2 linked regions of the Danio rerio genome follow. The protein of the gene in region 2 interacts with the protein of the main gene of each other region in a pairwise test. Links are inferred from orthologs where the notes say so. Each region holds a gene or a part of one and is shown on either strand. Other genes may lie near its edges.

Region 1 (3,841 bases), on a different chromosome or scaffold from region 2:
TATTACTATTATTATTATTATTATTATTATTATTTTTACTATTATTATTATTATTATTATTATTATTATTATTATTCAAGCTGAAAACTTTTTGCTTTTTTTTTGCTTACCCCATTGCACATCAAGACACTGGTAGCATCTTTTAGCTTTAAATTCCCTGTAAAATTAAAATAACCCGTTTTAGATGTATCAGGATGCTAGTCTTAACTGTCAGTTCAAGTTTAGCCATGAAACCTCCAACACTACATTGACCAGTGTTTCAGTTTTATTGTCCAACCCCTGTAGGTCAAACATTATGTGTCAAACCTACCTATTTTGACCACGATTGACTCTAATTTAAGCTGTGATTGGCCCAGTTAAGCTTTTTTTAAACTCTGAGATAGATTTGAACTGAAAAGGGGGCTTTCAAGACCCTTTAAGTGGGTCGCGGCAAAAATGCTGACATTCCTTTTATTTATCTCAGATTTTAACCTGCAGCTGTTTTATTTATTTATTTACTTATTTACAGTTTTCTCGCTTACTGGCTAATAAACAGCTTACTTAGCAGATTCTGATGTGTAGCTTTATTTATGGAAAACATTTCAGACTGTAAATCATGGACCCTGTTTAAACTGCTGTAAAAGTGAAGTATTGACAAGGTCATAGAGATTCTTTTCCAATTTTCTGCCTGTCAGCCCTGATACATCATTCTCTCTCTGTACTCGCTTCTCATTCACTCTCACACTTCTTTTTAATTTACATCAAACTGAGCTGATTAACTGCATTTGAGCGATCAGGGTTCTGGCCCGGCATGGGTGAATCTAAATTAATAGGTTTTTAAAATAATCATTTATACTGTTATAATAATTTAAAACTGTTCTTTTTTTTCTTTTTTCTTTTTTTTTTTTTTTGCCAGAGTTCTCTTTCTTTGACCCGAATGATCCTCTGTGTCAGGAGGTTCTGCAGGATCCCCAGACCACCGTTCCAGAGCTCTTTGCCGTCCTCAGGCAGTGGGTTCCCCAAGTCCAGCGGAATATTAGTATCATTGGTAATGAGGTCAGAACTATTTTTAAGTCTTGTGATTTTAAAGGAGAAACAAAACATGAAAAAGTCATTTAAATGTAATATTATATGTGCTTATAACATCTGTAGTCAACTAAAACTAAACCACACAAAAAAGTAGCTTGATTAAAAACAAGCATTGAAATGTTGAAAATGAAAATACTCCCACTGGCCACTTTATTAGGTACACCTGTCCAACTGCTCGTTATTGCAAATTTCTAATCAGCCAACATGGCAGCAATTCAATGTATTTAGGCATGTAGACATGGTCAAGACGATCTGCTGCAATTCAAAGCAAGCATCAGAATGGGGAAGAAAGGTGATTTAAGTGACTTTGAACGTGTCGTTATTTCTGGTGCCAGACGGGCTGGTGTGAAAATTTCAGAAACTGCTGATCTACTGGGATTTTCACACACAACCATCTCTAGGGTTTACAGAGAATGTTTAAAATATATATATATAAAATATGCAATGAGTGGCAGTTCTGTGGATGCAAATTCCTTGTTGATGCCGAAGGTCAGAGGAGAATGGCCAACAGTAACTCAAATAACCACTCGTTACAACTGTATGCAGAAGAGCTTCTCTGAATGCACAACACGTCCAACCTTGAGGCGGATAGGCCACAGCAGCAGAAGATTGGAAAAATGTTGCCTGGTCTGATGAGTCTCCATTTCTGCTGAGACATTCAGATGGTAGGGTCAGAATTTGGAATCAACAACATGAAAGCATGGATCCATCTTGCCTTGTATCAATGGTTCAGGCTGGTGGTGGTGTGGAGGATATTTTCTTGGCAAATGATGAGTATTGTTGCTGACCATGTCCGTCCCTTTATGACCACAGGGACTATCTTCTGATGGTTATTTCCAACAGGATAAAACGCCATGTCATAAAGCTCAAATCTTCTTAGACTGGTTTCTTAAATATGACAATGTGTTCACTGTACTCAAATGCCAATAGAGCACCTTTTTGAATGTGGTAGGAGATTGGCATCATGGATGTGCAGCCAGCAAATCAGCAGCAACTACATGATGCTATCATGTCAATTTGGAGCAAAATCTTTGAGGAATATTTCCAGTACCTTGTTGAATCTATGCCACGGAGAATTAAGGCAGTTCTGAAGGCAAAAGGGGGTCCAAGCGGGTAGTATCTAATAGAGTGAGTGCATATATATGTGTATATAATAAAACTAATTCCAATAATTCCATTATTTTACTCACCTTAAGATTATTATTTTTTTACATTGTAAACTTATTAGTAAAATATTATGTACTGTCATCATGGCAAAGACAAAAAAAAAAAAAAAGATTAATTGATTTAGATTTGTTATTATTAAGCATTTGTACTTCATATTTTCATTTGTACTTTTCCAGGAGGATAAACTGTGAATATTTTTAAAACGTATGATGGGTTTTTGTGACATCTAGTGGATAAAAAGAGAAAAACACATAAATACGAAAACTTGCTTTTAACCATGGTAGGTCTTTTACTCCAGTATACTCTAATAAGTGTTAATATGTAACCATTTTGGATAAAATAAAAACATATATTATGTTTATATTAACTATGTGTTTGGCTATAGCCTTTTTGTTGCTTAAATGAATCTTTTAACACTATAAGTAAATAAATAATTGGTTCAGTAATTTTTTCAGGGAAGAAGATTTTAGAGTCAAAGAAAGTACATGCAAATTGATTTGATTTGAATTTATTTAATGAGAGATTGTCAAACAGATACAGTAGAAGTCAGAATTATTACCTCTTTTGTGAATTGTTATTTTTACTTATTTTATTATTATTATTATTATTTTCATATTTCCCAAATGATGTTTAACAGAGCAAGGAAATTTCCACAGTATGTCTGATAATATTTTTTGTTCTGGAGAAAGTCTTGTTTGTTTTATTTTCACTAGAATAAAAGCAGTTTTTAGGTTTTTTTAAAGCTATTTTAAGGTCCAAACTATTAGTCCCCTTAAGTAATACACACACACACACACACACACACACACACACACACACACACACACACACACACATATATATATATATATATATATATATATATATATATATATATATATATATATATATATATATATATATATATATATATATTTATAGTCTACAGAACAAACCATTATTATACAATGACTTTCCTTGTTACACTAATTTGCCAAATTAACCAGGTTAAGTCTTTAAATGTAATTTTTATCTGAATACTAGTACCTTAAATAAAAATATAATTAAATATTATTTACTTTCGTCATGGCAAAGATAAAATAAATCCGTTATTAGAGATTAATTATTAAAACTAATATGTTCAGAAATGTGTTGAAAAAAATCTTCTCTCCGTTAAACAGAAATTGGGGAAAAATTATACAGGTGGTCTAATAATTCTGACTTTCACTGTATATATTTGTGTGAAAAACACATTGACTGTTGAATTATACTTAAAAAAGCCAAGTAAACAGGGTCAATTTTAATTTCATGTTTTCTCACAGCTCTCATAAAACATACCCACACACTCCCCCACACTGCGTTTAGTGTCGGGCTTTGTGTACTGAAATATTACTTCTGCAGACTGTGTGTTTCTCTCTTTCAGCATGAAATCTTTTGCTGAATGTTCTTTAACTATTGAAGTGATATTTGCTTTGTTCTATAGATTCTAAAGCGAGGATGTGGTGTCAATGACAGAGATGGTCTTACGGACATGACGTTGCTTCACTATTGCTGCAAGGCTGGAGCGCCTGGCATAGGTGAGCATGTATTTATATGTAAATAAAACAAATCAATACAAATCTATTCA
Region 2 (4,312 bases):
GCCAACAAGTGGATTCGTACGTATGGGCAAGAGTTCAGAAGAAAGTGCTCCACAATCAAATCTGATTAAAACACCCAGATAAGAGAGAGAGAGAAAATAAATCATGCTCCAAGATGCAGTGAAGAGACAATGTGATGTTATGAAAAAAGTGTGTATATTATTATTGATTATAAGCGTTAAATAACACAGATATTACCAATATTATTCTGCTTGAGATTGCTGTTTCATCCACATTCCTGCTATTCACATTTTTGTACTTTTTGTCTTCTGTGTTTAGCGTATGTTGTTTTGCACACTTAACAATAAAATAACAATAATTTTGTCCACCACTACCACTATCTATCCATCCATCCATCCATGCATCCATCCATCCATCCATCCATCCATCCATCCATCCATCCATCCATCCATCCATCCATCCATCTATCTATCATCTATCTATCTATCTATCTATCTATCTATCTATCTATCTATCTATCTATCTATCTATCTATCTATCTATCTATCTATCTCTATCTATCATCTATCTATCATCTATCTATCATCTATCTATCTATCTATCTATCTATCTATCTATCTATCTATCTATCTATCTATCTATCTATCTATCAATCTTTCCATCCATCCATCCATCCATCCATCCATCCATCCATCCATCCATCCATCCATCCATCCATCCATCTATCTATCTATCTATCTATCTATCTATCTATCTATCTATCTATCTATCTATCTATCTATCTATCTATCTATCTATCTATCTATCTATCTATCTGTCTGTCTGTCTGTCTGTCTGTCTGTCTGTCTGTCTGTCTGTCTGTCTGTCTGTCTGTCTGTCTGTCTGTCTGTCTATCTATCTATCTATCTATCTATCTATCTATCTATCATTCCATCCATCCATCCATCCATCCATCCATCTATCTATCTATCTATCAATCCATCAATCAATCTTTCCATCCATCCATCCATCCATCCATCCATCCATCCATCCATCCATCCATCCATCCATCCATCCATCCATCCATCCATCTATCCATCACTCTATCTATCTATCTATCTATCTATCTATCTATCTATCTATCTATCTATACATCAATCAATCTATCTATCTATCTATCTATCTATCTATCTATCTATCTATCTATCTATCTATCTATCTATCTATCTATCTATCTATCTATCTATCTATCTATCTATCTATCTATCTATCTATCTATCTATCTATCTATCTATCTATCTATCTATCTATCTATCTATCTATCTATCTATCTATCATCTCCCTCTCTGCTGAAAGACTGCAGTGAGTGACCTGTGAATGTGATGAGGTCATTATGACAGTGGTAGTAGGCGGGGACACGCAGCATCCGGAGGCGGAGCCACGCAGCATCACTCTGACAGCGGCAGGAGGGCGGTGTTACGCAGCATCATCTGAGCTGCTCGTCGTTTTATTGTACGGCTGCTGATGCTGAGAGGTCGAGCTGAGAAATATATATAAACCATGGTCGCGGATTTAAGCTTTGCAGACCGCGTTGCATCGTGGCGGACTGTTTTCTAGGTAAGCAGAGCTTTATTCTTGGCGTCTTTGAGTCGCGGGTGTTTTAATTGGACGAGCGCTCCGTCGCTGAGATGGATGGAGAAATACTGATTATAGCAGATGCAGATGGCTGGAAAACACACGGAATTAGGCCACGCTATGAAAGTATGAATTGGTTGTGTTTTATGATGGTGTTTGCTCGTGTGATGTGCTGTGTTTGTGTGGATGTGTGTAAGACAGTGAATGGGCGAGCTCGGCCTGCGTGTGATTCAGCCTCTCTGCAGGCCTGAGGAGACACTAATGCGGTGCTTTACACACACTATACACACACTTATACACACACTGTACATGTCTGCATTTATTCTGCTCAATAGCGTACAGATTTCACCACAGGAGGATCATTTGACAGGCCTGAGGCGAACTGTCACATGAACGCGACGACGGTGTCAAAACACAAATGTGACTCAATATAAAAAAAGATATTGTTAATAATTGTCTTAAAGGGGTTAGTTCACTCGAAAATGGAAATTCTGTAATCATTTAGCCTACTCAAGCTCCACTTATGTCCCGGACATGTTTGAGTTTCCATTGAACACGGTTATTTTGAAAATTGTAACCGTTGACTTACTACTTGCTTTTCCCATTGATGGACGTCAACGGTTACAGGTTTTCTAACGTATTTCAAATAATTTTTGTGTTCAACAATAAGGGAATGGGATATAATTTTTGTTGAACTACCTCTTTGACGAAAAAGTTTGCCCGAAAATGAAAATTTGTTCATCGTTTAGGCTATTCAAGCTCCACTTGTAAAGGGTTGACTTTGATCAAAACCCAACGTCATGGCAATGTCCAACCTAAAAGCATCAAAATATCAACTTCTAATGAAGTTACAGCTTTACGTTATGTGGATGTTACCACTATGACGTCTATCAATCGTTGGATTTTGGTTGCCATGCCCAAAGAATAAATGTCAGTATTTGATGTCAATATGACGTCGGTTTAAGATGTTAGCTCGACGTTTGATTTTGGTCACTTCTGAACACAACCTAAATCAACCAAATATTCGCGTCATTTGACTTCATTATTGGACATCAAAGTAATGTTGTCCTTAGACGCTGACTAGAAATTTTGGGTACCTGATGTCACAACCTAAATCTAACTTAATATTAAGGTCTTATAGCATGGCATTGTGTGCCTGCTGGGTAGTAAGTAAATTAAATTTTTTGAGCGAACTATCCCTTAAATAAAAGTTTACCCTAAAATGAAAATTCTGTCGTCATTTAGGCCATTCAAGCTCCACTTGTTCACAGACATGTTTGAGTTTATGTTTTTCTATTAAACACAGTTATTTAGAAAATAGCTGGAAACCATTGACACTCATAGCACTTGCTTTTCTCATTCTGGAAGTTAATGGTTACAGGTTTTCTAATGTATTTTAAAAAATTCATTTCATGTGCAACAAAAAAGGAATGTAATGTAATTTTTGGGTGAACTACCTCTTTGACTAAATAGTTTGCCCGAAAGTGAAAATGTGTTCATTGTTTAGGCTATTCAGGCTCAAATTGTACACAGTTTGAGTTTATAATCTTCTGTTCAACACGGTTATTTTGAAAATAGCTGTAATCCATTGACTCCCATAGTACTTTATCCGTAGTTCACACAAAAATGAAAATACTGTCATCATCTACTCATCCTTTTCTTGTTTCAAACCTTTATGAGTTTCTGTCTTCTGTTGAACAGAAAAGAAGATATTTAGTAAAATGTTTGAAACCTGTAACCATTGAGTTCCATAAAATTTCAATGTCAATGAACACAGATTTTCAACATTCTTCAAAATATCTTCTTTTGTGTTCAACAGAAGAAAGAAACTCAAAGATTTTGAACCACTTGAGGGTGAAAATAAAAAAAATGAAATAAATAAAAACTAAATAAAATGATATATATATATATATATATATATATATATATATATATATATATATATATATATATATATATAATAAATAAATAAATATATATAAGTAATAAAGTAAAAAATAAAGTAAATAAATATATAAATAAATAAAAATGAAAAAAGAAATATATATATATTAAATGAATAAAAACGAGATAAATTATATATATATATATATATATATATATATATATATATATATATATATATATTAAAGTAAATAAATATATAAAATAAATATAAAATAAATAATTAAATATGAAATAAATAAATAAAATATTTATATATTAAATAAAAAATAATTCATAAATAAAATAAATATTTAAAAATTATGTTTTTTCAAAAGTATATATGTAGCGTATAATATTAGCTGTTACTTTTTATTTATTTATTTATACATAATTGAAACAAAAAAATAGATATTCACTTGAATTTATTTCGGGCAACCAAAAACTCCAAAAACCCTGCATGAACGGATTACCTGGGAGAGAGAGTCCTGTTGCATGTTTTGCGGATGCAGAATGCACCCTTAGAATTGTTTGTGTGTGTGTGTGTGTGTATGTGTGTGTTTATTACACCATTGCCCAGCTTTTTTTCTTTTTTCATTACATGGGTTGAACTGACCTATGTATAGTAGTCACCCTGAGTGATTATGTGTGTGTTGTCTGGAGTTTGGTGTCAGTGGATGAATGTAAAAGTGGGTCATGATGCCACTGTGTTTGTACGTTTGCCTCATGCGGGCAGGAAATGGGCCAGAACAGCTGAAGGGAAAACCAACTGTATCATCATCCCATTACCATGCTCCGCTCTGCTCGTCCTCTCTA

What was found.
Region 1: the proteins of jakmip2 (region 2) and zgc:103755 interact in binary tests that used the Homo sapiens proteins (3 or more experiments, as listed by UniProt). The two-hybrid records come from large-scale screens. The link is inferred for Danio rerio from reciprocal best matches to the Homo sapiens genes JAKMIP2 and CLIP4.

Annotation. Positions count from the first base shown.
Region 1 is NC_133192.1:53,008,605-53,012,445, forward strand, and holds part of zgc:103755 (uncharacterized protein LOC449988), read left to right. Parts: intron 1-895; coding exon 896-1,035; intron 1,036-3,697; coding exon 3,698-3,791; intron 3,792-3,841.
Region 2 is NC_133196.1:46,819,323-46,823,634, reverse strand, and holds the start of jakmip2 (janus kinase and microtubule-interacting protein 2), read left to right. Parts: upstream 1-1,413; 5' UTR 1,414-1,555; intron 1,556-4,312. Other genes in the region: prolyl 4-hydroxylase subunit alpha-2, read left to right, coding at 1-69.